Linked DNA regions of Oryzias latipes. The protein of the gene in region 1 purifies or fractionates together with the protein of each later gene. This does not show direct contact. Links are inferred from orthologs where the notes say so. Each region holds a gene or a part of one and is shown in the gene's direction. Other genes may lie near its edges. The genes, in order: grb2, map4k3, dock1, pik3ap1, inppl1, anxa2 and garem2.

Region 1 (4,024 bases):
GTGATGTCATTGTCTTGGGAGGTGTCGTTCTCTATGCCCAAAATTTATTTTCTCCAAGGACTAGGCGTGTGCAAATTTTGGTGACTGTTGCGCATGTGGCGTGAGTCAAATTTTTGCTCAAAGGTGCAGAAATTATTGTGACCTTAAATTGATCATTTGTGGCAAAGGATTAGAATTTTATTTGCATAACGTAGCATTTTTTTGTGCGTAAAGTAGCATTTTCTGAACATAAAGTAATATCTTAGTATCATCAATGAAACACTAATTTGTGAGCACGAAATGCAAATTTGGGTGCACAAAATACATTAGGCAGCCGCAAAATGTTCATATGTGCAAACAAAACACTAATTCTTGGCCACAAAGTACAAATGTATGCCCAGGAAATACAAATTTGTGTGCAAAAAACACAGAATTGTGCCCAGAAAATATTAATATGTGGCCACAAGATACTAAATTGTGCGCACAAAAAACACAAATGTATCCAGAAAATACTTATTTGTGGCCACAAAATGGTCATTTGTGCCCACAAAATACAAATTTGTGTGCACAAAATAGTGTGCACAAAAAAACAAACCACATTGTGCACATAAAATACTCACTTTGCACATGAAATACAAAATTGTACCTAGAAAATACAAATTTGTGCCAACAAAATACTCATTTGTGTGCACAAAATACAAAATTCTGCCCATAATATACTAATTTGTGTGCACAAACAAACATTTTTGGCCACAAAATTCAAATGTGTCCGAACAAATACTAATGTGTGCCCACAAATCTATGCCCGAGTAATACTGATTTGTGCACATTAAATACAGAATTGTGCCCAGAAAATACTCATTTGTGGCCACAAGACACTAAATTGTGCACACAACATACACAATTTTACCCAGAAAATACTATTTTGTGTGCACAAGATGCTAATTTTTTGAAAATGCCCATAAAATACTAATTTGTGAATACGAAATACTAAATCATGTACACGTTTTTTGAGGTAACAATTTGTTGTGGGGTTTGTTTGTTTGTTTGTTAGAATGTCACATCCAGGGCTCCGTACATAAGTGAAACTGAAATGATTTTCTTTATTCCCAAAAAACTATAAGTGCAGAGGTTTTACCAGTAAGACTAGCGCAAAATTATTTTTTGATGTTTCCGATTCCGTAAGTTTGAGACTGCGTGCCGTTTTATTTTTTTTTTTTATTTTTTTTTAGTTTTTTTTATACCAATGACTTCTGTAATTCTACTTGAGTAGCATTATCTTGAAGTTGCGCAAAAGTCTCGAGTGTGTTTCCAATTTTCCCCTCTGCCTTCAACAATCCACCGTGGGACTGGGGACGCTGCGGCAGACCGTCACGGAGACTTGTCCTCCTGTCTGATTCACGAGCCGAGCGGAGCTGACAGGGAGGAGCTCCAGTCCCAGCAGCCCGCACAGCCCCGCAGCTCTCGGTGGAAGGAAGCGGAAATAAACGTCGAGAGCAGCGTCTGCTACCAGCTAGCTTCAGGCTCCGAAAACGGGCTGTGAGCGATTCCTCCTCGTCGGTTTGCTCTCCATAGGAAGCAGGGAGAGCTTAGTTTACACGATATCGTTTGGGTTATTACGGAGACCGATCTGAAACGGAATATCGTGAACAGTAAGTTAATCTTGTCGCCTTTTCCTGATGTGAAAGTTGTACTTTTATTTTCTCGACGCCTTCAGTGGTGATATATCTAGGCTAACTCTGAGTTAGCACCGAACAGCTTTGCGGTGTAGGGAAAAAAAGATGTTTTCTTCCTTTCACGTTTTCTATTTTGTAATCGCACTTGGGGATAAAAGTTGTGTTCGGCCTCGTCGTTTTTAACCGGTCACGGCTTTTTACAGGTGTTACCGCTGATATCGTTGTTGGTGTAATTAAATTTGGGGCAAGTTTGATAATGACACCGCACCGCAGTTATTGTTGCTCGACCGTTAGCTGGCATGCTAGCTCTAATGTTCTAGAACAGTGGGCGCAGTCTATTCACTGGAATTGGTTCGATCTACTACATCACTCCTAAAGACGCGATCATGAGAATTGGTTGTCGTTAAATAAAACAATATTAAACTTCATCCTTCGTGTTCATGTCTATAAAATAACTGTTTTAACTATGTAAAGTGACGAAAGTCAGGACCTCCTGAAACTAGCCTCTCGCTTCGTTTGTTGTAACGTTTTAACTTTAAAATCACCACCGATTTTTTCTAATTCTTTTTTTTTTTTTTGCTAGTCTTTTGTCTGCATGTAATTATGGAGGGATTTGCGTTACTTATTTATGCTAAAGGAAGCGGCGCCACGTTGACAGACACTACATTTTGGAGAATTGCTTTTATTCCGACTCAAGTTCTAATAGGCGCCGGAAGACGTGGAAAAATGTGCTAATTGGCGAAAGTAGCCTGTTGAGTGGCGCTGTGTTTGTTGTTCTTTTGTTGTCATCTGGCTTGCTGTCAGCTTTAACGACCTTACTAAGTACTGAGTTGTAGTAGAGTGAGCTCATCAAAGCTGTCCGGTAGAGTATTAGAAAACGGGATAACGAGTCTCTATCTATTTAACTGGACAACTTTAGCTACTGTATCACTGTCAACCCTGCTTAAGCTAACCAGTGCTTTATCTTTGCAGGAGCTTTAGATTAAGGTCTTTGGGAATTGTCACTAGTTATTGAGTGACTCCTAATTCTCTGACTGTTGACTAAAGTTAAAAAAAAAAAAAAAACTGCGGAAGTTCGCTTTATTGAAGATCTTGAGATCATTTTGAGGACATAAATGAACCATTTTTGGATAACATGGAAAAGTATGTGCAACGTTTGTTTGACATGAACCGGGTTCGTCTAAATTTCTTATTGGTAATATGTCAAAAATTTGCCTCTTATTGGTTGTCAACACATGGTTTTTGATGGCAGAAGGGGATTTTTCCCTCTTCCTCTTAACCACTTCTTTCTAGCACCTTTTTCTGTTTTTTTATAGAAATAATGAGGAAAGGGTTTCTCTGGGGGGGGGGGGGTACAAAGCACAACATTGTTCCATATATGCCCTTATGTCTTAAAGTCCCACTCCAATCATCTTTTGATCTATTTGCAAGAATCCCCACTGGTGTTTTTATTATATTATTTTTATTCAAAATCAATAAATCGGAGTCGTTTTTTAGGACAACGATTCTACAGAGTGTCAGTAATTCATTAGAGGTTTGCCTATGAGTTGTGGCTATAACTGTTGGGTGTGGTGTAAGCTTCCCTTGATTTCCCATCATCCCTTTGTTTACACTCTCCCGCTCTAGCTTACAGCCCCTCACAACCCCCAGCTAACATTAGCGGTGCATCAAAAGTGGGGAACAATCTTGGAGCTATCCAGTCGTACAGTTTAGAGCCAGATTCCAGCTCAGAGGAGGAAAACGAAGGCGTACACGGATCTATTTGTCTGGAAGTGGATGCATCAGAATGGAGCGGAGCAGGAAGCTTGTAGCCTGCTGACTGTAGCGTCTGCGTCACATCTACAAGCTTGTTCATAATCTTTTTTCGTCTGCAACGCGATTTGAACAAATAACTACACAATATGCAATTCTAAGCCTAATTTTCTTTATTTATGCCCTCCATAGTGGGAAAAAAAAAGAGTAAATTAAAACACAATTTTCATCAGAGTTTAAGCCCTTACAGTTGTGCAATTTATCTCATTTTTGGAGGGGTTCTTGAAAAGAAAATGAAATCCTGGGCATAAACACTACTGAAGATACAAAAATGATTTTTTTTTAAACTAAGTTGATTGTTTAAGTTTTTAGGGTGACAGGATGTGATTAGTATGTCATCAAGCACTATATAACAAATTTAATGTTTTATTTTTTATTTAATATGCCTTCAAATACCCTTGAGGATACCCATATTTGAGAACCACTGGTTTAGAAGTGTCTCAGCTGCAGTAACAACCATCGAACTGATCACCACGTCTTTTCTGATCTGCAGGTACAGCCCTGTGACCTTTATGTGAGGTGAAAGTCGTAAAGGAGCGGGACGGGAGGAGAGACTC
Region 2 (4,154 bases), on another chromosome or scaffold:
AAAGTAAAAAAGCAAACAACTTAATAATTCAATGTAAAAAGAATAAACTACAATGTTAAGTAAAAAAATCTAAGAATAATATGTAAAGTAAAACATGACCTAAAAATACTATGTGAACTAAAAAAAACTTAAAAATTGTATGTTTACTTGACAAAAACTTTAAATAATTATTAAGTAGTAGTAAGTAAAAAAAAAGATAAATCTAAAACCCTTTGTAAAGGAATAAAAAGCAACATCACAAAGTAAAGTAAAAAGCAAAACAACTAAAAATATATATAAAGTTTGGAAAAAGAGAAATGTTATGTAAAGTTTAAAAAAATTAAAAAATACTTTCTGAAGTAAAAAAAAATCTTGATGCTGTGGTTTAGCAATGAATGCTTAAACTTTGGCTCAGACTAATTTGATTTTGTTCTTAAAAACAAACGTTTGAAATATTTTATTGTTATTTCCTACTTCATCCCATCAGAATATCGTGCACTGCTGCAATTTTTAATCTCAAATTCTGGAAATTTCTTGTCCTTTAAAGCTTTGAGTTTAGTAACCATAAAGAAGATAAAATAATCATGAAATCATACGATAAAATGTTACAGTTGAGTTATTCTTGTATAAACTGCATTTGCAGTCTCAAGGCCTGTTCACACCGGGACGAATTTCGCCGGCGATTTTCGCCGACGTTTAACGCCTCGTGACTAAACAAAGGGCACCAACGAGAGTGTGCACACCGACGCGAAAAAACGCCACGCGTTAAAGCGTCAAAAAAAAAAAACGCCTCGGGTTCGTTTTTTTTTTCGACGCGTCGCGTCGAAATCTACTCGACCAATGAGAATGGCGCTTTTGCTCACGTGTCTGGAGCTTCTGAAGTTAGAGTAAAACACAACTTGGGGGCGCTCAAACACAAAACTGCCTTGCTGAGCACACATACCAGCGAAGAAGATAGACGCCAAGTAGCGTCTACACTGCCGCGAAGCAATAATGACGTACATTCTAAAATATCCCCGAACCAAGCACCAGTTGGAGCTACTGGTGCTTGAAATATTCATGTTTTCTTTGTTTGATTCTGACAAGCGTGTAAATACTTGCTCTCTTCTTCTGAGTGAAAAGCGACTTTAAGAAGCGTAAAGTTGCGCAGCGCCACCTTGTGTACAGGAGTATTTCTGTTTTACATTAAGCGCCATCTAATGTCAGGGAATGAAATTGCATGTTCACTCCACTCATCGTCAGCGAAAATCGCCTGGGTGTGAACACAAAAAACGTGGCGAAAAACGCTGGCGAATAACGCCTGGCGAATATTCGTCCCGGTGTGTACGGGCCTTCAAACGCACCATCCCTGGAAAACAACTTTTATCCCCCGCGCATGCTCAGTGAGTCCGCGCAGGAAGCCATGTTGGATCTTCACACTGGATTCAGGCAGAGATTTTTTGACACCGTATGTTTTTCCTAAAATATCCGTTCACCGTCTTCGTCGGGGGTGCATCCACCGCGCGCGATCGGTGCCGTAGTTGGCAGAGGACATGATGAACTCCAGCATGGACCTGTCCCGGCGGAACCCGCAGGAGGATTTCGAGCTGATCCAGAGGATAGGAAGTGGGACCTACGGAGATGTGTACAAGGTAACGCTGCAGAGAGAGGGGAGCTTCCAAGGGGTTCCATTTTCGGACACCTAGCTCAAAACAGTAATTCATAGTATTCCGTTCTTAATTTTTGGGGAAACATTAAATATTTTAAAAATATTTAAATTTTCCTTTTTTGTTGTAGCACAACTTTGAACTTATTTAATGGCTAACTGATGTTTTCGTGGATAACTCCGATGTGCGTTGCATTGACAGAGCTGAATTGTGCTTATGGCTGCTCCACTTTATGCTGCTCCATTCGCATTATTCCCGCAACCCTTCCTGTTGATATGTTTTTATTAAGTTGATACAGTATACGTGAATGTTATAGCTGCAAATATAAGGGCTCATCGGGAAACTAAAACCATCAATGTTTTTGTGTTTTGGCTAACTTCAAGCTGTCCGAAAATGGGTACAGGGGTCCTAGCATAAAACAGCTAGCTTCTCAGATTCTTGTGAATTTTAGTACCATCAGGCAGGGATTTGCTTAATGGAAGACACTGAAAACGGTCAATATTTTCTCTGAAAAGGCAAATATTACACCAGTTTAATCAAATATACCAGTAGTATGTCCTCTCTGCCCTGTCTGGGCTGACAGCTGATTCGGCTAAGGCGTTAAGCCACAACAACAACAACAATAACGACAACAGCGGTCAGATGATCGCCTCCAGTCGGTGTTTAACGTCTTCTGCTGTCCGCAGTGACTTTTAGAAGTTCCTAAGAGCCCTGATTCGGCCCTGCCGTGTCTGTGGTGAAGTTTGGAGGCTCCTGCTGTCAGTTTAGCAAGGCCCCACGGCTTCAGGTCAGACCTCAGACTGCAGAAAAGAGTGGGACAATCAGTTTAGAGGAAAAACGTGCAGAAACATGGCGAGATTTGACCCATTTTACCTCAGGCAAAAGTTTTACCCATCAGGCAAAGGTTTTACCCATCAGGCAACAGGTTTACCCATCATGGCAATGGTGTAACCATCATGCAAATGTTTAACCCATAAGGCAAAGGTTTTAGAAGAAAGAGAAGTAGAAGCCCCTCCTTGCTTTTCCAGTGTGAACACTATGGGCTAAATGTGTTTAAGATAGGGGTGTGTATTGACCAGAGTCTGGCGATATGATTGATTGTGATATTTTACCTGAACATATTTTATTTATTTAAAAAAAAATATGACTTTGAAAAAACTCTACCTGAATTTTAATGTCTTCCACTGTTATAAAATGGTCAAATTCAGTTTAGTTAATGATCACAATGTTAAGCACTGCAACTCAGTGACGTGCGGTGAGGTTAATGGCTGGTAAGGCACTGACGTCAGTCAGATTTACAAACATATGAACCATACTGAGTAACTTATTCACCATTTGATTGACAACAGTTAACGTGTTTTGTTTAAAATATCATTTCAACATGTTTTTTTTTTCATATGCAAACTGCAGCATAGAAAAAAACACAAACGTTATTATCGTCTTACCTTTACTTGTAAATAAAGTCCATACGCCGCTCCTTCTGAAGAAAATGACTTGCCGCTTGGTATCACTTCTTCTATTGTTTTTTAGCGTCATAATCTCAGGGCTCACCGGCGCCCCCTAACATGAGGCACGAGAATGTCTGGCCTCACCCAGCGGCTTTTTTGCCGGCGTTTAGCGCTCAGCACAAGAAACACGTCCCTCACATACAGTTATTTATAAAAACAAACACTGTACATCATATACATCTGCTAAATTATGTAAACTCAGCTCATATAGTACAAGTGATTGAACCGACATACAGAGACAGCAGTTCCGTCTGACTGCATAGGTATTGCGCAATCCAAGGTGAGGCTCAGCGGGCTGGTGCCTCATCGCACGTCACTTCTTATTATCTGAACGGCAAATGCGGAAATTCAGCGATTTTGAAAAGAAAAAAAACCCAAAAATGGTCCATTTAAATGGAAAATGACTGCAAAGCACAAATTACTGATTAAATATAATAATTGAATTTATTTTTTCTCTTTTCTTCCCATAATGACAGGTGAGGCACAGCCTCACCTGCCTCTCCTGACTGCACGTCACTGCTGCAACTGTATCTCATATACAAGTTGCGTTTACCAAAGCAAATTCATAGTGCTTTTATTTTGGTAAGTTGAAAGTATAGAAAGGAAACGGTCAACATTGTCTGATTTCCACAACAAAATATTTTTCAGTATAAGAAAAAACAAAGAATGAGAAAATAAAATGCGGTTCATTTTCAACATGTAGCTTCTCCAGTACTTTTAAACAGTTCAGGAGCCTGAATGGTGCTTTAAAAATAAAAGGGGGGGCACACACGGATTCTTTCCAGAAACAATAAAGTGATGATGATGAGTCAGCATAACAGAACGAAGGTAAATTGCTTTAATGTGACAAAGGTGCTTTGTTACATATCAGTCTGCTCTGCTGAACCTTTGCAGACACGCTTCTCACACGCGCAACACTCCTCCCCACGATGTCGGCCTTTTTTTCAGAGCGTTGTACACATCCCTCTGATCCATCAGGTCGTTAAACTAGAATCTATTGATGGGAGGTTCTGCAGAACTT
Region 3 (4,259 bases), on another chromosome or scaffold:
ACCTTTTCCAGGTTTTATCCTACTCCTTTCACAAAGACAGCTGGGATGGCACCAGTTGCTCAGCAACGCTCAACAGGATAAAGTTGTAGTAGAAAGTGCTAGAATTTTTTTTGACATTCTAAATATATAAATATACAAATAAAATTATAAATAGAAATAACATTTGTGCCACCACTTACTTGGAGGGTGAAAGTTAAAATTTTGGATGGGGTCTAAACTGTCTTGTGATCAAGGTTGACTTTTTGACAAAAGATGTACTGTAATGAGTTTGAAAGTGGGAGCTCCCTCTGCTGGTTGAATGCTAACATGACATCTGTAGGTGAGGGAAGTCATGGGGGCGTGGGGTCATAAACTGAGGCAGGTATTCTAAATTTATGGACAAAGAAGGAATTAAATGTACTATAACAAAGAATTTTACATTCATAGATTACATTAACAGAATTTTGTTACTGCCTCAGAGAGAAAGAGTTTCAGTATCATTTAAGCCAGAAGCCCATCTAAGGTCCTTTCGATTTATTATTATACACAGATAATGAAGAAAAAGGTAAATAATGAAAGAAAAAGCTGTGGATAAACAGGACAAAAAAACTGTATTTTTTAAACATGACCTAAAACAAAAAGTAAATGTCAGGGTTTACTATGTATTTAACTCACAGAAGCTGTTAATTTGAAATCATTTTTTATAATGAACACTGATTTTATTTCACTGTTTTACTACTGTCAAATAAAAACAATTAGTCAAATAGGTAATATTCTTGGAGATTATTATATAGTTCTTTTGACAGACTGGCGACCTGTGCGGTGTGTCCCCTGCCTTCGGCCACAAGTGGCCGGGACAGGCTCTGGCAGCCCTGTGACCCCGAAAGGGAATAAACGAAAGGAGATAAATAAACGAATTATTAAATGTTTAAATCAGTTTTACTCTCTCTTTTTCACTTTCGTTTACCTAATCTCTCATATAAAGTCAACATTTTTTGAGTGTATACTTTAAAAAATATAAAAGCACTTAAAAAAAAGTTTTAAGCAATAATTAAAAATGAGAGACATTTTTGGTTTTGGCATGACATAAAACTGAAGGCACTGATGCAACTCTCAAATGCTGTTAATTTATTTTTTATAAAGAATAATACATTTACTATTGAAAATGTTCTTGGATTTTTAATTTTCTAAATTAGGTTTTCTTACCTTTTTTATTTTTAAATTAATCCCTCATATAACAACATTCGTTTCAAGTGTAAACTTTTTCAAAATAAAAGCACCCTTTAAATTTTTGCTAAAACCTTTTAGGCAAAATTACTAATGAAATACCTTTTTTTGTTTTGGTATATCATAAAACTGATGGTTTGTCTTCAGGAATGTGTTTGCTTTTGAAGAAATATGTCTCAGCTCGTCATGACGTAATTAGGATCGGGCCGCAGTTTGTTTGTAAGCACCAGGACTGCCTGAAAGAGGTTTTTGCTCCGCCTCGCCCCCTGCCGGCGCGTCCCGTCACTGATGGAAAATGGCTGCTCGGAGCAGCTCTCCAAATCTGGGAGAAAACTGAACAGAAAAGTCTACTTTACAACTAAGCAAACACACCTGGAGTTTTTCTAACTGGCTGAACGGCATCTCAGGGACGCCTGAATGATCAGAATGTCTCGCTGGGTCCCCACGAAGAAGGAAAAGTATGGAGTTGGTACGTAAGAAAACTTCCATCGCTAGCTCGTCCCCCTAGCCCTCTGCTCTCAGAAGTTCAGGGAAGAATTGTGATTAGAAAACGAGAGTGAACGGTTCTCGCCGGGAGGTTTAGAGGATTCACGGGCTCGCATTTGACTAAACTGGAGGAATGCCAATGATTCTCGGGGACACTTTAGTTCAGCGCTGGTGGTTTGCATGGGACGGTCGCATGTCTGCGGGCGTCTTTTGTGAGGAAGAGGACCGAGTGTGGATTGGGAATTGTTAGAGGCGCGCCTAGTCGGAGCGGCGCCGTTTCCTGTGTTTTGGGGCCTCCGCCACAAAACTTGAACGACTTTCGAGCCCAGTTTGATTTGTGACTTGGAATAATCCGCGCTGTTGGTGTTGACGGCGGGGTCCTACAGGGTTGGAGTCTGCTCAAATGCTGGTGTTGTTAATTTTCTCGAGTTCCGCTGTCACGTTCAGCCTCCACTGTCGCTCCAAAGACCCACTCCGAGGAAAAGGATGGTTTTAACATGTTGTTGTTTCATTTTTCTGATGATGGAAGACATAAATGGAAAATATGAAGAGTATTTATTTTTTCAAATCGTTGTGAATCAGGAGCAGATCCATAAAAAAAGAGCACGTGTGTGTGTGTGTGTGACGCAGAAAATAAATACGCATCGCATGGCTTACTACTCCATTTTTCTGATGCATCCACATGTACACACATGGATCCATGTACGTCTCTGTTTTCCTTATCCATCTGGCTCACAACTACACAGCTCCAGTCTGTTACAGTTGGGGGAAGGGGGGGGGGGGTATGGGCTGTAAGCTAGCGGGAGAGAGTGTAAACAAAGGGATGATGGGAAATGGGGGCAGGCTTACTTCACGACTGCATATGCAATGTCATAGAAAAAAACTAAGATTTTTTTTGATTGTGGCTAAAAATGACAGTCATAATTAAAAGACCACCGGGAACTTAAAAAAAAAAAAAAAAAACATTGATCGGACAATCGGATTTTGACTTTAAAGGAACAAACATCACAAAGAGCGTCTGGTGCTGGAAATACTGAGCTTGCATGCAACAAGCTCATGTATAAGTCATTAAATTTAGTGATTTAAAAAAAGCCAATCAAGATATAGTAAATAAACCTTTAAATGCACAAGTACATACTTCTGCATATGTAATAAAACGGTAAATACAACCTAAAGGTCCCTTTTATGTGACACTATGAAGGTCTATTTTCGAGCCATGAGGCTTTCTGTCAGATGGTTTTGATCTTCACCACTTCTCTATAGTCCTTCCTGAAAGTTCTGCAATGAATATTGTGTGTTCTGATGAACACAAACACACACACACAGCTCCTTAATTCAATAGAATCAAACTCACCCATCTGTTTACACACTCTTTCCCCCTAGCTTTAAAGCCCCTCACACCACCAACCTAACATTACCGGTGCAACAAAACCGTATAGCTTTGACCCAGATAGTCAGTCTAGACGAGGAAAACAAAGTCGTACTTGGTTCTATTTGTCTACAAGTGGATGCTTTAGAATCCACCGGAGCAGGGAGCTTGACGTACTTTCTACATTTTTAACTTAATTCTTTAAATACATGTCCTCCATCATCAGAAAAAAGTCTCAAGAACATGTATAAAGCACAATTTTCATCGGAGTGGGTCTTTAAGTAGGATCACCATCTGCTCCTCTTGTATGCCTAAAATGACTGATTCTTTACTTTTTCTCATGTTTTTGGCCTATTGTTGTTTATCTTCTAGTTTTCCTTTTTTTGGGTCCTGCTAGTGTTTTAAAAAAAATCTTTTATCCGTGTATTGCTTGTCAGTGGTGTGTTGAGTTTCTTTTTGGTTATCTGCAGGGTTGTTTCTAAGGCAACAGCCCCATAAACTAGTCCTTTATTTTTTGCTAATAGCCATATTTTATTAGGATTTTTCCCAATACTTTCCCTCTTGCACTCCATGTAACACGTGCCCATGCCTGATAATAGAACCGTTTTCAGCCACATAGGGTGATGCTGATGCTGACTGATGGGCGATTTTAACAGGTTACTCTAAAACCTGAGCTTGGACTTTTAATTGAGCTCTTGTATTTTCAGTCCAGATTGTGCTGCTAGATGGAGCATTTGTGAGTTTTTTTATTTGTATGTGGCTCCCAAAACTATGCAAACCTAGATGCTAACGATTTTCTTGTTATTTTCAAAATCCTCTTAGGGCTCTTTCAGTGCACGAGTGGGTGAGTCATTAGTTGAAAGAGAGGCAGCTGCCAAATTATGGTGACGGAAGATTGTTGGGGCATGAAGCTTTTTTTTTGTGTTTTTATTTTTTTTCCCCCTTCACTTTTCCAAACTTCACATGTTGACCAAGTAGCACTAATGAGCGCTGTGTGAGACCGGTCACGCTGTCGGTGCTCACTCTGCATCCATTTCCGTTTCAGCCAAACTTTTGTCCTGCTATTTAAAGGCTCTCATAATGGTCCCCAAGGCTTTGTTAGCGTACGTGTGAAAGATTTCCCTTTTATCCTTTCTCAGCAGTATGAATGACAAATGTTGCTGTCCTTATACATAGTGTGTCAGGGATTTCCCCGCCC
Region 4 (4,292 bases), on another chromosome or scaffold:
CCGTTCTCATTGGTCGTGTAGTTTTTGACGCGGTGCGTCAAAAAAAAAAAACGAACCCGAGGCGTTTTTTTGACGCTTTGACGCGTGGCGTTTTTTCGCGTCGGTGTGCACACTCTCATTGGTGCCCTTTGTTTAGTCACGAGGCGTTAAACGTCGGCGAAAATCGCCGGCGAAATTCGTCCCGGTGTGAACAGGCCTTTAAGCTGAGAAAACAGAAAAAAACATGAAACCAGAAACTGCTACAATTTTAGGAGTGGAAACATCAACAGTGTGGTCCATCCTGAGAAAGAAAGAAAGCTCTGGTGAACTCAGCAACGCAAAAAGACCTGGACGTCCATGGAAGACAACAGTGGTGGATGATGGCAGAATCATTTCCACAGTGAAGAGGAACCCGTTCACAACAGCCAACCAAGTGAACAACACTCTCCAGGAGGGAGGCGGATCAATATCCAAGCCTACCATCAAAAGAAGACTGCATGAAAGTAGACCCAGAGGGAACACTGCAAGATGCAAGCCACTCAGAAGCCTCAAGAATAGGAAAGCTAGATTGGACTTTGCTAAAAAGCATCTAAAAAAGTTCTGGAAAAACATTCTATGGACAGAAGAAACCAAAATCAACCTCTACCAGAACGATGGCTAGAGAAAAGTCTGGAGAAGGCGTGGAGAAGCTCCTGATCCAAAGCACACTACATCATCAGTAAAACACGGTGGAGGCAGTGTGATGGTCTGGGCGTGCATGGCTGCTAGTGGCACTGGGACACTAGTGTTTATTGATGACGTGACACGGGACAGAAGCAGCCCAATGAATTCTGAGGTGTTCAGAGACATACTGTCTGCGCAGATCCAGGTGAATGCAGCCCTGTCTGCGCAGATCCAGGTGAATGCAGCCAAACTGATTGGGCGGCGTTTCATAATCCAGATGGACAACGACCCAAAACATCCAGCCAAAGCAACTCAGGAGTTTATTAAAGCAAAGAAGTGGAATATTCTTGAATTGCCAAGTCAGTCACCTGATCTGAACCCTTGAGCAGCATTTCACTTGTTGAAGACTAAACTTCAGACAGAAAGGCCCACAAACAAACAGCAACTGTTTGCCGCTGCAGTAAAGGCCTGGCAGAGCATTCAGAAGGAGAAAACCAGCATCTGGTGATGTCCATGAGTTCAAGACTTCAGGCTGTCATTGCCAACAAAGGCTTTTCAACCAAATATTGGGAATGAACATTTTGTTTGCAGTTATTTCAATTGTCCAATTACTTAGGAGCCCATGAAATGAAGGGACTGTGTTTAAAAAATGCTTTAGTTTTTCACATCTTGTGCAATCTTTTTGTTCAACCCATAGAATAAAAGCTAAAAGTCTGCACTTCAATGGCATCTGAGTTGTTTTATTCAAAATTCACTTTGGTAATGTACAGAAACTACATTAGAAAGAATGTGTCTCTGTCCAAATATTCATGGTCCTGCTCTTCTGAAACTTTGCACCTTTTTAAGGAAGTGAGAACAAACATGCTGCTCACGCCCACCACAGGTAAATGTGTTTCCTTTTCCCCGCTGGGCGACTCTTTTGAGAGCAAAGGGGTCTTCAGGGGTCTGTTTGCTCCGATTCTGAGGTCTTCTGTTAACTTTTGATTCTTTGTGTCATACCCCCCCCCCTTGTTAGGCCCCTCCTTCACTTTAAATCAGTTTGGACTCAACACACTTGCAGACATGTTACACTCACAGACCTGTAAGCGGGGTATTTTCTCACTTCTTCAACTGTTTCAGGAAGTGGGGCTGAGCTACCAAAATCAGGAAATTAACAGCTGCTATTTATACAAGCAGCAAAGAGCTCTGGCAGGGGAAAGCTGGTGACGTGTCGTTCACAAAAGAAGCTCCAGAGGAGTTCCGTCTGCTAGGATGCCCGTTCTGGACTGATTTGGACCCCTTTGACTCCAGAGCCATGAATGAATCCATGTCCAGCACCAACGCAGGTAGGAAGACCCCCCCCCCCCCTCTCTGCCTCTGTTTTCAGTTGGAATTGAGTTCTGCATCAAAAGTCAAAGCTTCTGCTGATCAACATGAAACGTTTTTACTTTTTTCATCTTTAAGCCTTAAACTTTCTGTGAAACGTGAACGTCCAGAAAAGAGGAACTGAACACGTTAGCATCCTGTGTGCTTCAGCTGAGCTCATGACAAATTTCCGACAGTCTAAATTTGACTCATCTGTTCTTTTTTGCTAAGACTTTCCCTCCACCGGCTGGTCAGATGGGGGGAGGGGGGGACTCTTCTGGTTCGTTAGCGTTTAGCTGAGGTGAAGGGGAATTTAAACGACGGGACCAGAGGTTACAGAACTCTGTCATGTTTGCTCTACTACTTGTTGGCCCTGCTCCCACATTTCCATCAGAGTCACCTTCAGGGACCGCAGCACGCCACGCCACGCCGACGCGACCTGCTGCTCCGTGAACCCAGCACATCAGTCCTGAGGGGACTGAGGTCCATCCTGGTGTTCAGACTGATCTGAGGAGTTCATAATGACGATGTTCTGCTAACAACCCTGTGATCTTCTCTGTCTCACAGATGATTTGGAGTCCAAATGTGAGGTTCTGATTCTGTACACCTCTGAAGCGCATGAATGGGCCATGTATTTGCAGCAGGTCCTGAAATCTCACAAGTTCCACAGAAGGTCCATTTTGCTGTATGCTCTGAGCTCGGCCGATCTGCTCCACCAGTACAACTTTGTACATTTCCAACGCTGCAAATGCGTGGTGCTGCTCCTTTCTGGAGTCTTCCTGGACATGATGCACGAGCAGAACCTGCAGCGAGCCCTTCAGGGTCTTCTGCAGCCCCCCCACAGAGTGGTGGTGCTGTTCTGTGGGGTGGGTGAGGAGGATCTGCCGAAGGACGCCTTCACAGACTGGAGCAGCTGGAGGAAGATCTTTGCTGAAGATGAGGCTCTAACCTATGCCTCCACCATCATGGCTGCAGTGACTGACAGTATGGAACTTCTCTGAATTTGGCCCTTCCTGCTTCCCGTATTTGTCTGTTCTCCCTTTCAGTCGTGTTTCTGCAGTCATGAAACATTTGGTTACCAACACATCACAGGTCTTCCTCTTTAGGCGCTCTGCCACGTTTGAAGGGGGTGGCTGCTTCAACCAGCATCTACTCAGCACTGGGGGAGGGGGGAGGGGGGGGGGGTCCACCAAAACAATCTGCCCTTTAGGGCCACTTTGAACTTTCACAGCGGTTCAGGTAAAATTCTGCATTTACTGAATTTCAGACATAGCTGTAACATTTTTTTCACGCCATAAGCCCCACCCATCCCACTTCACGGGTCGTCAGTTTCCCCCCAGGAGTTGCCAACCACATTTCTGGAACTGGACCTGGTGTTTGTGAGCCTGCTGAGCCCCCAGTGACTCATTCTGGAACATGCCTTTGCATCAATTTAAAGCTTGAGCTCTCTGGGACCGAAGGGACAGAATCTGATCAAACTAAACGTTTGCCGACTGGTTTCTCTTCCCCTCTTTTGTGTCTCGGACTCATGCGGTTCTGTTCTGATGGGTTCAGAGTTGATCCAGAGAATTATAAAACACCAGGCTTCATTCAGTTCTCTTGAAAAGAGGCGAGACTTGTCTGTTTCCTTTTACAACAAATCAGGAGCGTGTTTCTTTCCAGCGTATAGACAGGTTAGCGTGACAGCTTCATAGAAATGTCAGATAGACGTCTTTATTGGTGACTTTGGTCAAAAGCAATGATCTGATTGAGTTTGATGTTTTCACAGGCAGACAAGCCGAGGCCGCATGTGCAAATGAAGCTGCTGTGGTGGAGCCGCCCCTGGCCGTAACGGCTGCGGTGGAGCCGCCCCTGGCCGTAACGGCTGCGGTTGAGCCGCCCCTGGCGGTAACGGCTGCGGTGGAGCCGCCCCTGGCCGTAACGGCTGCGGTTGAGCCGCCCCTGGCGGTAACGGCTGCGGTGGACCCGCCCCTGGCCGTAACGGCTGCGGTGGAGCCGCCCCTGGCCGTAACGGCTGCGGTGGACCCGCCCCTGGCGGTAACGGCTGCGGTGGAGCCACCCTTCGCCGTAACGCTTGAGGACGCCTCCGGTGAAGCAGCAGATCCAGAAAGTGTCCATGAGGAGCGTTCAGGTGTTGAGGTGAATCCATCCAAACAGCTCACCTGTCTGACTGTTCAGCCCAGCAGAGTTCAGTGTGAGGTACGCCGCCATCTTCATGCCTGGAAGCTCCACCTTTGACCTTTTCTCAGTACATTCTAGAAAATTGCTGTTAAAAACATCTAACATGGATTCTTCTCATGTGTTCA
Region 5 (3,500 bases), on another chromosome or scaffold:
GTAGAATAAAATATTTGCAAGTAGTCCCACCTAAAGAGATGAGTTTGGTCTGTAATGTTCATCTTAAATAAACTTCCACTCTGACAGAGTGTAAAAACAAATCCAGGAAATCACATTGTTTGGTCTTTAAATAAATCATTTGTATAAATGAGGAGAAAATATAACAAAAGTTTACCCTAATGCTTTCTCATGTAACCCTGGTCTCAATGACCGAGGTCAAAGGTTTCTGGCAGGTCTTTAGTAGGTCTGTGTCTGCTATTTTGGTCCATTCTTCCAATCGGATCTTCTCAAAAGCAGTGATGTTTTGGGGCTGTTGTTGGGCAACACTGACATTACACTCCCTTTGCAGATTCTTTTTTGGATTGTGGTCTAAAGGCTAGAACACTCCAGAACCTTGAAATGCTTTTTACGTAGACACTCCTTTGTTACCTGGGTGATGTGTTTGGGATCATTGTCACGCTGGAAGATCCAGCCATGTTTCATTTTCAATTTTTTTAATGATGGGTGGACGTTTTTGACCAAAATCCCAGCAAATATGGATCCATTTCTCATTTCCTTTATACAGATCAGTTGTCCTATCCACTTTGTAGAAAACCAGCCCCAAAGCATGATGTTTCCACCTCAAGACCATTAATATCGTCCTTGGAGCTCCAGGTGGAGGGAGATTGTCAGTGATCTTGTATGTCTTTCATTTTCTAATAATGTCTCTAACAGCTGATCTCTTCTCACCAAGCTGCTTCCTTATTGTAGATTGGTTCATCCCAGTCTTGTTCAGGTGAACAATCTTGTTCTTGGTGTCCTTTGACAGCTCTTTGGTCTTGGTCATGGTGGAGGGGTTTCAGTCTGACTGTTTCAGGGTGTTGACAGGTGTCTTTTATCCAGATAACCACTTCAAAAAGTTGATATTAAAACAGGTAACAAGTGGAGGGTACAAGAACTTCTTAGGGACAGATCTTTTGTTTGTTTGTTTGTTGGAGATAAATTCTTATTTTCTGCAACGTCAAACAAATAAATTATTTAAAAATCAAACAATGTGATTACCTGAATTCTTTTTTTACGTTCTGTCTCTCACAGTGTAAGTGTTTCTATGATGAACATTACAGACCAAACTCATAATCCTTACTAACAAACACTTTTTGTCTCTCTGTAATTACTATAGAGAAATTGTTTGAAGTGACATTTTAGTTGACCTCTTTAATTGCCATGTTCTCACAGCAGTGGCTTCTGTGTGTCTGTCTTAATCCATCAGTCAGTGAACCAGGGTGGAGACCAGGAGTTGGAAAACTTGGTGACAAAGTTGGCAATTCTGAAAGACCTGTTGTCTTCCATCGAGAAAAAGGTATACTTCATCCTTAGTCTGAGTGTTTTCCATTCTCTTTGCTTTTTCTGCTTTTTCTAGGCCGCTTTGCTGTGTTTTGATTTTTGGGCTTTAGCATTATTTTACCATCTATTTCCGAACCTTTGTTTATCCCCATTTGGATCCTTGGTGTTCCACTTTAACGGGCTCTACTGATTTCTTCAGCATTTCACATTATTTAAAGTTATTTCTCTATATTCTTCATCTATTCCCTTTAGGTTGACTTCTTTCTCCAGTTTAGCTGGAAACATGCTGTCAGCTCCAGAGGGATTCTTGATCAAAGCTTTGATTGGTTTAAGTTGAAGACATTTGAAGTTGTTTCTTTGTTAAACACACACTTGAGACTGCAGAGCATCACATGGAAGTCTTCAGTGGGCTCTGGGGGAGATGGCCTCCAGTGCAGGGAAGCTGCATGTCTGGACATGTGATGAAAATAGGTCTTCCTTCCCTGATTCTCAAAGGAAATGCTGACGTTAAACCCATTAGAGCTGACCATGACAGTGCATTTTCCCTTCTTTCACCGATGCCCTGTCCTTTTGCAGCCTCTTGTGTTTCCTTATGCTCTTTCTCATATTGTTTGTCCACTCCCCCACACTCACACACTTTCTCTTTGTCCCTTCAGGCTCTGAAAGCACTACAGGACATGAGCTTGTCCTCCCCCTGCTCTCCTCCTCCTTTCTCCATGCGTCACAGCAAAGCCATTCCTGTTCAGGCTTTTGAGGTAAACACGTACAAACTCACACGTGCACGCTTGTGCGCTTCATTAGTAGTAATCTGCGTGTGGGGGTGGAGCTCTGTATCTTGCAAAATACTTATATCCCACTAAAATGCTCTGAAGCGCTCATGAAAAATGTTTTATAGATTCTGCTGGTGCAGGATTGAGTCATATATTTTTTTTTTTTCAGTAAACAGAATCTTAAAGATCAGTAACCCTTGTGCTATCCTAGGCACTTTAACGTTGGGAGTTGGGTCATCTAGACCCACTAGACAGTGCTCTGAACCTTTTTTCTTCAATGATTTGTGATCTTCACTGGTGTCCATGGATTACATGAAATCTTTCCACCTTTATCCACCTTTGTCATGGTAGGGAGAACACGTCAATGTAAGGGTGGGGTCATCTAAGATAGCACAAGGGTTTTAAGCAACTTTAAATTTAAGCTGATGATTGCTTTTGTCACTGAAGGTTTGTTCCTCACAGCTGATGCCTCAGTGGTTTATGGCATTTTTCCATAGAGAATGGAAAAATAGTTTCAATGAGAAATATTAGGAACATTCTAGTCGGGAGACAAAAGCTGAACTTGGAGCCTCACATAACAGAAAATAGATGAACTTTAAATGGGCTGGAGCCCAGAGTGAAGGAAAGAGCAAATAAGTGAGGTTGAATATTAGCTGATAACTCAGTCTGAATCATCCTGGCATGAGTTTAGTCATTTCCTGTTGTTCAGGAAGAGAAATGTTTACCCACAAACAGTCTTACAGTCATACTGTAATGATTGAAAGTGAGAGATTCCTTTGTAAGTTTTTGCAACTCTTAGTATAGATTTTTTTAATTAAATTTAAACAAAAAGAGGGAAGAAAATGATGCACAGAAACCAGAAAAGCGACACATTTTTTGCTTTTTAGACCCACAACAATGAAAATTTTTGTTTTTGTTTTTTTATATGTTTTTGTGGTATTTTTTTGATGATGGAGGACATTTACTAAAAAATTTAAGTTCAAAATTGCATTTCTGATTATTTCTTTATTCAAATCATTGTGACTCAGGCAGACAAAAGAAAGCTTTTTGGTCGGTGGGCAGGTCACAAGCTCCCTGCTCTCCTCCATTGTGATGCATCCAATTGTAGATGACTAGATCCATGTACGTCTTTGTTTTCCTCGTCAGAGCTGGCATATGGCTCCAAACTCTACAGCTGGATAGCTCCAATTATGCTTGCCATTTTTGTTGCACCAGTAATCTTAGATTGGGTGCGTGAGGGGCTGTAAGATAGCTGGAGAGTGATGGGAAGGAGGCGGGGGTTGGTCCACGCCAACAGTCCCGACCACAACTCACAGGTGAATTTCTAATGCCGCTGACTACCGGTACTGCCGCTCTGCAGAAACTATGACCTAGAAAATGACACTGAGTTTTGATTTTGGTTAAAAA
Region 6 (3,500 bases), on another chromosome or scaffold:
AGACCAATGTGTTTCGAGGTTCATCAGGTTAAGCGGTTAAACGGTGGCTACAGGCTCGTGGAGAAGAGGCTGACTGTGTTGTTAGAAATGTGCTAAACATGAATCCTGTGTGACACCCAGTCGTGTGACGTCTTTACCTCAGTGCTGCTTCATAGATGGGCTTCTCTGTTTGGATTCAGGGTCTGGGAACTGATGAGGAGGTTCTGATCGAGATGCTCTGCTCCAGGAGCGAAGAGGAGCTGATGGAGATTAAGAAGGAGTACAGAGAGAGTGAGTTCAACAGTTCTCTGCTTCAAATGAACCAAAATGTGAGAACTTGGGTTTAAAAACGCGTTAGCATCAACGCCGTCTGTGTCCTGTCAGTGTTTAAGAAGGAGGTGGAGAAAGACATCGCCGGAGACACGTCAGGGAACTTCGCCAAACTGCTGCTGGCTCTGGTTCAGGTACGTCCAGAACACGGAAACCTGCTAACATGCTAACATGCTAACATGGTAATATACTGAATAAAGGTTCATTTGAAAAAAAGTCAATACAATTTTCAATCTTGAAATAATGATTTAAAAGAAGATCACATTTTTTTAAATATCTTTCCTTTTTTTGCTTCCTTGCACTGCGTTTTTTTGTCATTTTCTGATTACATTTAAAAATACAATCGTTAAAATCAACTCGTTTTACAGAATATCCTGATCTTATAGTTAAGAAAATCTTGACCTGTCAAACCTGTAAAATCCTGTCCACGAAGCTGTGCTTTGATTTTGAAAATCTCTTAGCACTATGTATGTTTGACCTTGTGACCCTAAACTTTTCCAGACAAGAAGAGACGAACCCTCCAACGTTGTGGACTATCAGAAGATCGACGAAGACGCCAGAGTGAGTGGATCCTACGCCGTTTCTGCCAGCTAGCGTGTTTGCGGTCACTTTTTTATTTACAAAATAAAACTTTCATGCTAACGTCACCACAGAGTAGATCTGACATTTCAAAATAAAATCTGTATTTTTTTTCTGTTAGAGCTTCACAGACAAACAAACTGAGCCTGAAACGAAACATTTTTCATGAAATAAGTTCAACGTGATAAAGACGACGGCTAAACGGATCATCAAACTCATTCATGATGAGAAGAAAAACTTTTTCTGGGCTTAGAATAAAAACATCACAGACATTTCCGGTACCGTGTGAGGCGGCTTTCCTCCAGGCTGGATCAAATGCTGACCGCCGGTTGTTGGAAACTCTCAGCATCCGTCCGTCTTCTGTCTCCTCCTCAGTCTCTGTACGAAGCCGGCGTGAAACGGAAAGGAACCGACGTGACCACCTGGATCTCCATCATGTCGCAGCGGAGCGTCCCACATCTGCAGAAAGGTGAGACTGAAAAGGAGAAAAAATAAGTGACAGTGACAGAAGAAGAAGCTTTCAGAACAACATTCTGAACAACAAAGTCCTGATTTAAAGGCATTTTGTCTTCAGAAACACGAGCAAAGCAAATATTTGTGTGTTTTTGTAATTGGTTCATTTTCTAAACACTGAAGGTAAAAAAAGTTTTGTTTCTTCAAAGTGTTTGAGAGATATAAGAGCTACAGTCCCTACGACATCAAGGAGAGCATCAAGAAGGAGGTGAAAGGAGATCTGGAGAAGTCCTTCCTCACTCTGGGTACGTCCAACCAACGGGATGCCTGTGGAGAACGCGTTAGCCTGGTTTTAACCTGGTTTCAGTCTAATTTCAGCCTGGTTTTAGACTAGTTTAAGTCTGGCTTCAGCCTATTCTAGCCTGGTTTGGCTTGGTTTCAGCATTGTTTCAGTCTGGTTTAGACTAGTTTCCGGTGGGTTTAACCTGGTTCAAGCTCAGTTTCAGACTAGTTTCAGTTTGGTTTAAACCTGGTTTTTGTCCCTTTTTCAGCTTCACTTTCATTCGTCCTATTTGTCGGTTCAAGTCCCAGGTGAGTCGGCTGACCTCCTGCTGACGTCTCATTGGTCCAGCCGTATACAGAATGAGTGATTGACAGCGGCTCAGCTTGCAGAAGACTGAAAAGTCAGCAGATAAAACTGATCATCTTCATTTCTGAGCTTTAAATCAGTCTCATAAATAAGTTTCAATAGACAGTCATCTGCAGAAAAAATGTTTCTGTATGAACTTCTCCAGTGTCTTTAGCGCTCTCTGGTTGGTGTTGTCGTGTTCCATTGGACCTGTGGTTGTCGTGTTGCATTGGACCCGTGGTTGTCGTGTTGCATTGGACCTGTGGTTGTCGTGTTGCATTGGACCTGTGGTTGTCGTGTTGCATTGGACCTGTGGTTGTCGTGTTGCATTGGACCTGTGGTTGTTGTGTTCCATTGGACCTGTGGTTGTCGTGTTGCATTGGACCTGTGGTTGTCGTGTTGCATTGGACCTGTGGTTGTTGTGTTCCAATGGACCTGTGGTTGTCGTGTTGCATTGGACCTGTGGTTGTCGTGTTCCATTGGACCTGTGGTTGTCGTGTTGCATTGGACCTGTGGTTGTGATGTTGCCTTGGACCTGTGGTTGTGATGTTGCCTTGGACCCGTGGTTGTCGTGTTCCATTGGACCTGTGGTTGTCGTGTTGCATTGGACCTGTGGTTGTTGTGTTCCATTGGACCTGTGGTTGTTGTGCTGCATTGGACCTGTAGTTGTTGTGTTCCATTGGACCTGTGGTTGTGATGTTGCCTTGGACCTGTGGTTGTCGTGTTGCATTGGACCTGTGGTTGTCGTGTTGCATTGGACCTGTGGTTGTCGTGTTGCATTGGACCTGTGGTTGTTATGTTCCATTGGACCTGTGGTTGTCGTGTTGCATTGGACCTGTGGTTGTGATGTTGCCTTGGACCTGTGGTTGTCGTGTTGCATTGGACCTGTGGTTGTCGTGTTGCATTGGACCTGTGGTTGTCGTGTTGCATTGGACCTGTGGTTGTTATGTTCCATTGGACCTGTGGTTGTCGTGTTGCATTGGACCTGTGGATGTCGTGTTGCATTGGACCTGTGGTTGTTGTGTTCCATTGGACCTGTGGTTGTTGTGCTGCATTGGACCTGTGGTTGTCGTGTTGCATTGGACCTGTGGCTGTCGTGTTGCATTGGACCTGTGGTTGTTGTGTTCCATTGGACCTGTGGTTGTCGTGTTGCATTGGACCTGTGGTTGTGATGTTGCCTTGGACCTGTGGTTGTCGTGTTGCATTGGACCTGTGGTTGTCGTGTTGCATTGGACCTGTGGTTGTCGTGTTGCATTGGACCTGTGGTTGTTGTGTTCCATTGGACCTGTGGTTGTCGTGTTGCATTGGACCTGTGGTTGTCGTGTTGCATTGGACCTGTGGTTGTTGTGTTCCATTGGACCTGTGGTTGTAGTGTTGCATTGGACCTGTGGTTGTTGTGTTCCATTGGACCTGTGGTTGTCGTGTTGCATTGGACCTGTGGTTGTGATGTTGCCTTGGACCTGTGGTTGTGATGTTGCCTTGGACCTGTGGTTGTCGTGTTCCATTGGACCTGTGGTTGTCATGTTGCCTT
Region 7 (3,500 bases), on another chromosome or scaffold:
TTTGGAGCTCTGCAGCAATTGACTGTACAGAAAGACAGTGACCTCTTTGCACTCTGTGCTTCAGCATCCGCTGACCCCTCTCCATCATTTTACATGGTCTACCACTTGGTGGCTGAGTTGCCGTTGTTCCTAAACTCTTCTATTTTGTTCTGATAGAGCTGACAGTTGACCGTGGAATATTTAGGAGAACAGAAATTTCACCGCGTCAAAGACCCACATCAATCACCTTTTGATCTATTTTCCAAGAATTCACCTTTGAGTTGTGGGCTGGATTGTTTATGCAGAGCAATTGCTGAGAGCTCGATCTTCAGCTAGCTTACAGCCCCTCACACCTCCAACCTAACGTTAATGGTGCAGCAAAAATGGCGAGCAATGCTTGAGCTATCCAGTCCTACAGTTTAGATCCAGATTCCAGCTCAGGCGAGGAAAGCAAAGACGTACATGGATCTATTTTTCTGACATTGGATGCATCAAAATGGAGCGGAGCAGGATGCTTGTGGCCCGCCCAGCGTATTTTTTACGTCACAAATAAGATGTCCGTCAAACAGCATTTTTCCATCTGCTCCTGATTCCCTATAATTTGAATACACATTTATGCAGAAATGCAGTTTTTAGCTTATTATCTGTCCTCCATGATCAGAAAATGTCCACAAGAACATGTCAAAAACACCAAGAACACCAGTTTCCTCAGAGTGGGTCTTTATATTTACCAACTACAAAAACCTTTTGACTTTATTCTATAGATTATGGAGTTTCTCATTTTGGCCTCCCTTTGGTTTCATCCTTTTTCTTTTGTTTATTTTATTTTTTTTAAATAAACAACAAAGTTTTCTACAGATAAATCTCTTAGCAAACAGAGTGCTTTTACTTTTCATCTTAACGGACGAGGGGCACATCCCTGACATGTCTGTTGTACTGCATAACTCTGGTGAAGTAACAAAACCATGTTTTTAATTACACAAAGTGTTTCCATGCAGAGATGAGCTAATGTCTCTGGGATGACTTCATACAGGAAGTCTAAACAGGCTTAGGATGGGAGAGATATAGGTTGACTCCTTGGGATGGACAACAGGATGCATCCCTGTTTCTCATTCTGACTCTTCATCCTGCCTCACTGGGAGGAGTGTGAAGGTCGAAAAAGCTGAATGATAATGAAGGAAACCCACCCTGTACTGTGCTGTGGATTGTGAAGCTGAACTCCAATTTGTTGTCAAACTTTGTTTGCTTTTTAAAGCAGGGTGGGTGGGTTTTGGTTGAGCTGAAAGGTGGATCCTGTTTGGATTGGGAGGGGTTTGATATTCTGCCCTAAACACTTTGACAGTACAAGAAAAGACCGGCTTTTGTTGCAACTTGTGAACTTGGGTGAATCAATCCTTTTGTCAGGACTCGTTTGCGGTCGATAAAAGCCAACCATAATTAACAGCTTTGACAAAACAGTCTGAGCTTAAGGAAAAGTAAAGAGATGGTAAAAGAAGAGAGTTGAGGATGTGAGTGTCTCCATGGTGACAGGCCTCTGCTCAGCGTGAGAATAAAGGTCTTTTATTGGTTGCCATGCCAACTCTTTCGGCTGTCGATCGGCTAAGAGGCGTTGCCAGGTCAGAGGTCAAATAAGTGTCAGTGTTTTCACGTCCAAACTGTTTCCAATTAGTTGCTATTTTGAAAGACCCACTCCAAAGAAAATGGTCTTTTTAGTGTTTTAAAATGTTCTTGTAGCATTTTTCTGATGATGGAGGAAATATATTAGGAAAATTATGATTGAAATTGCCTTTCTGAGTATTTCTGTATTCTAATTGTTGTCAACCAGGAGCAGACAAAGAATGTTGTTTGAAAAAGCCTGTAAATGTGACATAAAAAATTATGCTGGGCGGGCCACAATCTCCCTATATGAGGCCCTCAGAATTATAAGGTGTGTTTTGGGGGGAAAAATGAAGGCCTTTTAGTGCAGCTTAGGTGGTAGAAAATACGGTAATTAAAAGACCACTGGAAAACTTTTAAAATGACTCAAAAGATGATCAGATTGGGTCTTTAAATTTTCGGTCTTCTTCTTTGCAGGCAAGTTCAAGCTGCTGGATGAAGACCGGGACGTCAGCGATCCTGTACAGTATTTCTCCAGCGTAGAGGAAGTTGCCGCCATCTTCCCCGACCGTGTCTTTGTCCTGGAGACGATCACTTTCAGCGTGAAGGTCAGTCGAATCCAAAAAAACGCTGACCAGCAGCAGGTTGATTTACGACATTTCCCTGAAAAGTCCTTCCGCAGTTCCACATCTCCCGTGTTCACGTTTTCCAGGTGGTTTCAGGAGAGTTCAGTGAGGACAGTGAGCCCTACAGTTTCACTCTGCAGGCTGGAGATGAGCTGTCACTCATGGGGAAGGCGGAGCTTCTTTGCGCCACTTCTCCAAAGGAAAAGATCGGATTGAGCATGCTTCTCCGACGTTTAGGCAAGACTCCCAGAAGTAGGTCGAAAATCCTCAGAAATTCTGTTATTTCCATGTCTTCTCTTAATATTTGAGTCTATAGGCCTCACAAACACACATATACACACTCTGGTGCTTTGTAACGTCTATTAAAACAACCATGGATATTATTTCAAATATAAGAACTCACACTGGCTACAATTTGTGGACGCTAACTTAATAATTTATGGGGTTCATGTATTTTTCTTCTCTTGATCCACATCCAACCTGCCACTAAACATTTGATGATTGAAACATTTTGTCCCATCCTTCTTCCTTCTCGTCAGTAGAAGCATTTCACAGTATTGTCTGCACTATAGAGCGCAGCTGGACCATAAGACGCATCGTCAATGAATGGTCTAACTTTGTCATGTGGCTCACCAAACTAAAAGGCGAATTAAGCGAGACAAAAGAGTCAGCCATAGGTCTGTCAGTCTTTATTAACTCTCAAACTTGTTTGCAATGTGCTACATGTTAGCCACATAAGTAGAATTAGCCTCGTTAGCATATTCCCACTACCATTACTCTCAAACTTGTTTGAAACCTGTATTAAAACAGTCTGAAACCACTAAAATAAACGTTCCTGACTTTGCTGACTCCCAACCTTCCTAGCAACATGTAAAAAAAACAGTCCGACAGCTAGCATTAGCATATTAACAATAACACCCAACCTTGTTTGACTGACAGACCGCCATGTACCAATTCAAAATCCCTTCTTCCTGATTGGAAGAAGGCATTTGCTGTAACAACAAACCATCCTTAAAAAATGTACCATTAATAATCTGGCATTACTGAAGGTTCAGTGTCCTAAAACGTTTGTTTGATTTTCGGAATTTCAGGTAAAACTCCCTGCCTGGTCTGCATGAACCATCGCACCAATCAGAGTGTCAGCTTGCCCTTTGGCTGCCGGGGACGCTTCTGCACACGTTCTCCCCTGGAGCAAGGCATGCTGGGAGGAGAGCACACAGTACGGAGCATCATAGAGAGAGTTCGCCTCCCAGTCAATGTCTCTGTTCCATCTCGACCACCACAGAACCCCTTTGATCG

Evidence for each region.
Region 2: the proteins of grb2 (region 1) and map4k3 purify together in Homo sapiens (affinity purification with mass spectrometry; 4 studies listed by BioGRID and IntAct, with this or other methods). This does not show direct contact. The link is inferred for Oryzias latipes from reciprocal best matches to the Homo sapiens genes GRB2 and MAP4K3.
Region 3: the proteins of grb2 (region 1) and dock1 purify together in Homo sapiens (affinity purification with mass spectrometry; 5 studies listed by BioGRID and IntAct, counting the BioPlex papers as one, with this or other methods). This does not show direct contact. The link is inferred for Oryzias latipes from reciprocal best matches to the Homo sapiens genes GRB2 and DOCK1.
Region 4: the proteins of grb2 (region 1) and pik3ap1 purify together in Homo sapiens (co-immunoprecipitation; 4 studies listed by BioGRID and IntAct, counting the BioPlex papers as one, with this or other methods). This does not show direct contact. The link is inferred for Oryzias latipes from reciprocal best matches to the Homo sapiens genes GRB2 and PIK3AP1.
Region 5: the proteins of grb2 (region 1) and inppl1 purify together in Homo sapiens (affinity purification with mass spectrometry; 3 studies listed by BioGRID and IntAct, with this or other methods). This does not show direct contact. The link is inferred for Oryzias latipes from reciprocal best matches to the Homo sapiens genes GRB2 and INPPL1.
Region 6: the proteins of grb2 (region 1) and anxa2 purify together in Homo sapiens (affinity purification with western blotting; 5 studies listed by BioGRID and IntAct, with this or other methods). This does not show direct contact. The link is inferred for Oryzias latipes from reciprocal best matches to the Homo sapiens genes GRB2 and ANXA2.
Region 7: the proteins of grb2 (region 1) and garem2 purify together in Homo sapiens (co-immunoprecipitation; 4 studies listed by BioGRID and IntAct, counting the BioPlex papers as one, with this or other methods). This does not show direct contact. The link is inferred for Oryzias latipes from reciprocal best matches to the Homo sapiens genes GRB2 and GAREM2.

What each region holds. Positions count from the first base shown.
Region 1 is NC_019866.2:20,759,507-20,763,530, reverse strand, and holds the start of grb2 (growth factor receptor-bound protein 2), read left to right. Parts: upstream 1-1,224; 5' UTR 1,225-1,631; intron 1,632-3,960; 5' UTR 3,961-4,024. UniProt on the Homo sapiens protein: Non-enzymatic adapter protein that plays a pivotal role in precisely regulated signaling cascades from cell surface receptors to cellular responses, including signaling transduction and gene expression.
Region 2 is NC_019873.2:10,879,515-10,883,668, forward strand, and holds the start of map4k3 (mitogen-activated protein kinase kinase kinase kinase 3), read left to right. Parts: upstream 1-1,354; 5' UTR 1,355-1,511; coding exon 1,512-1,610; intron 1,611-4,154. UniProt on the Homo sapiens protein: Serine/threonine kinase that plays a role in the response to environmental stress. Appears to act upstream of the JUN N-terminal pathway.
Region 3 is NC_019877.2:11,960,515-11,964,773, forward strand, and holds the start of dock1 (dedicator of cytokinesis protein 1), read left to right. Parts: upstream 1-1,459; 5' UTR 1,460-1,623; coding exon 1,624-1,675; intron 1,676-4,259. UniProt on the Homo sapiens protein: Involved in cytoskeletal rearrangements required for phagocytosis of apoptotic cells and cell motility. Along with DOCK1, mediates CRK/CRKL regulation of epithelial and endothelial cell spreading and migration on type IV collagen.
Region 4 is NC_019873.2:30,009,751-30,014,042, reverse strand, and holds the start of pik3ap1 (phosphoinositide 3-kinase adapter protein 1), read left to right. Parts: upstream 1-1,492; 5' UTR 1,493-1,936; coding exon 1,937-1,967; intron 1,968-2,553; coding exon 2,554-2,970; intron 2,971-3,754; coding exon 3,755-4,185; intron 4,186-4,292. UniProt on the Homo sapiens protein: Signaling adapter that contributes to B-cell development by linking B-cell receptor (BCR) signaling to the phosphoinositide 3-kinase (PI3K)-Akt signaling pathway.
Region 5 is NC_019871.2:21,842,837-21,846,336, forward strand, and holds part of inppl1 (phosphatidylinositol 3,4,5-trisphosphate 5-phosphatase 2), read left to right. Parts: intron 1-1,249; coding exon 1,250-1,339; intron 1,340-1,979; coding exon 1,980-2,078; intron 2,079-3,500. UniProt on the Homo sapiens protein: Phosphatidylinositol (PtdIns) phosphatase that specifically hydrolyzes the 5-phosphate of phosphatidylinositol-3,4,5-trisphosphate (PtdIns(3,4,5)P3) to produce PtdIns(3,4)P2, thereby negatively regulating the PI3K (phosphoinositide 3-kinase) pathways.
Region 6 is NC_019861.2:37,467,895-37,471,394, reverse strand, and holds part of anxa2 (annexin A2), read left to right. Parts: intron 1-179; coding exon 180-270; intron 271-363; coding exon 364-443; intron 444-810; coding exon 811-870; intron 871-1,263; coding exon 1,264-1,357; intron 1,358-1,550; coding exon 1,551-1,646; intron 1,647-3,500. UniProt on the Homo sapiens protein: Calcium-regulated membrane-binding protein whose affinity for calcium is greatly enhanced by anionic phospholipids. It binds two calcium ions with high affinity. May be involved in heat-stress response.
Region 7 is NC_019882.2:19,108,771-19,112,270, reverse strand, and holds part of garem2 (GRB2-associated and regulator of MAPK protein 2), read left to right. Parts: intron 1-2,052; coding exon 2,053-2,183; intron 2,184-2,287; coding exon 2,288-2,453; intron 2,454-3,292; coding exon 3,293-3,500. UniProt on the Homo sapiens protein: Probable adapter protein that may provide a link between cell surface epidermal growth factor receptor and the MAPK/ERK signaling pathway.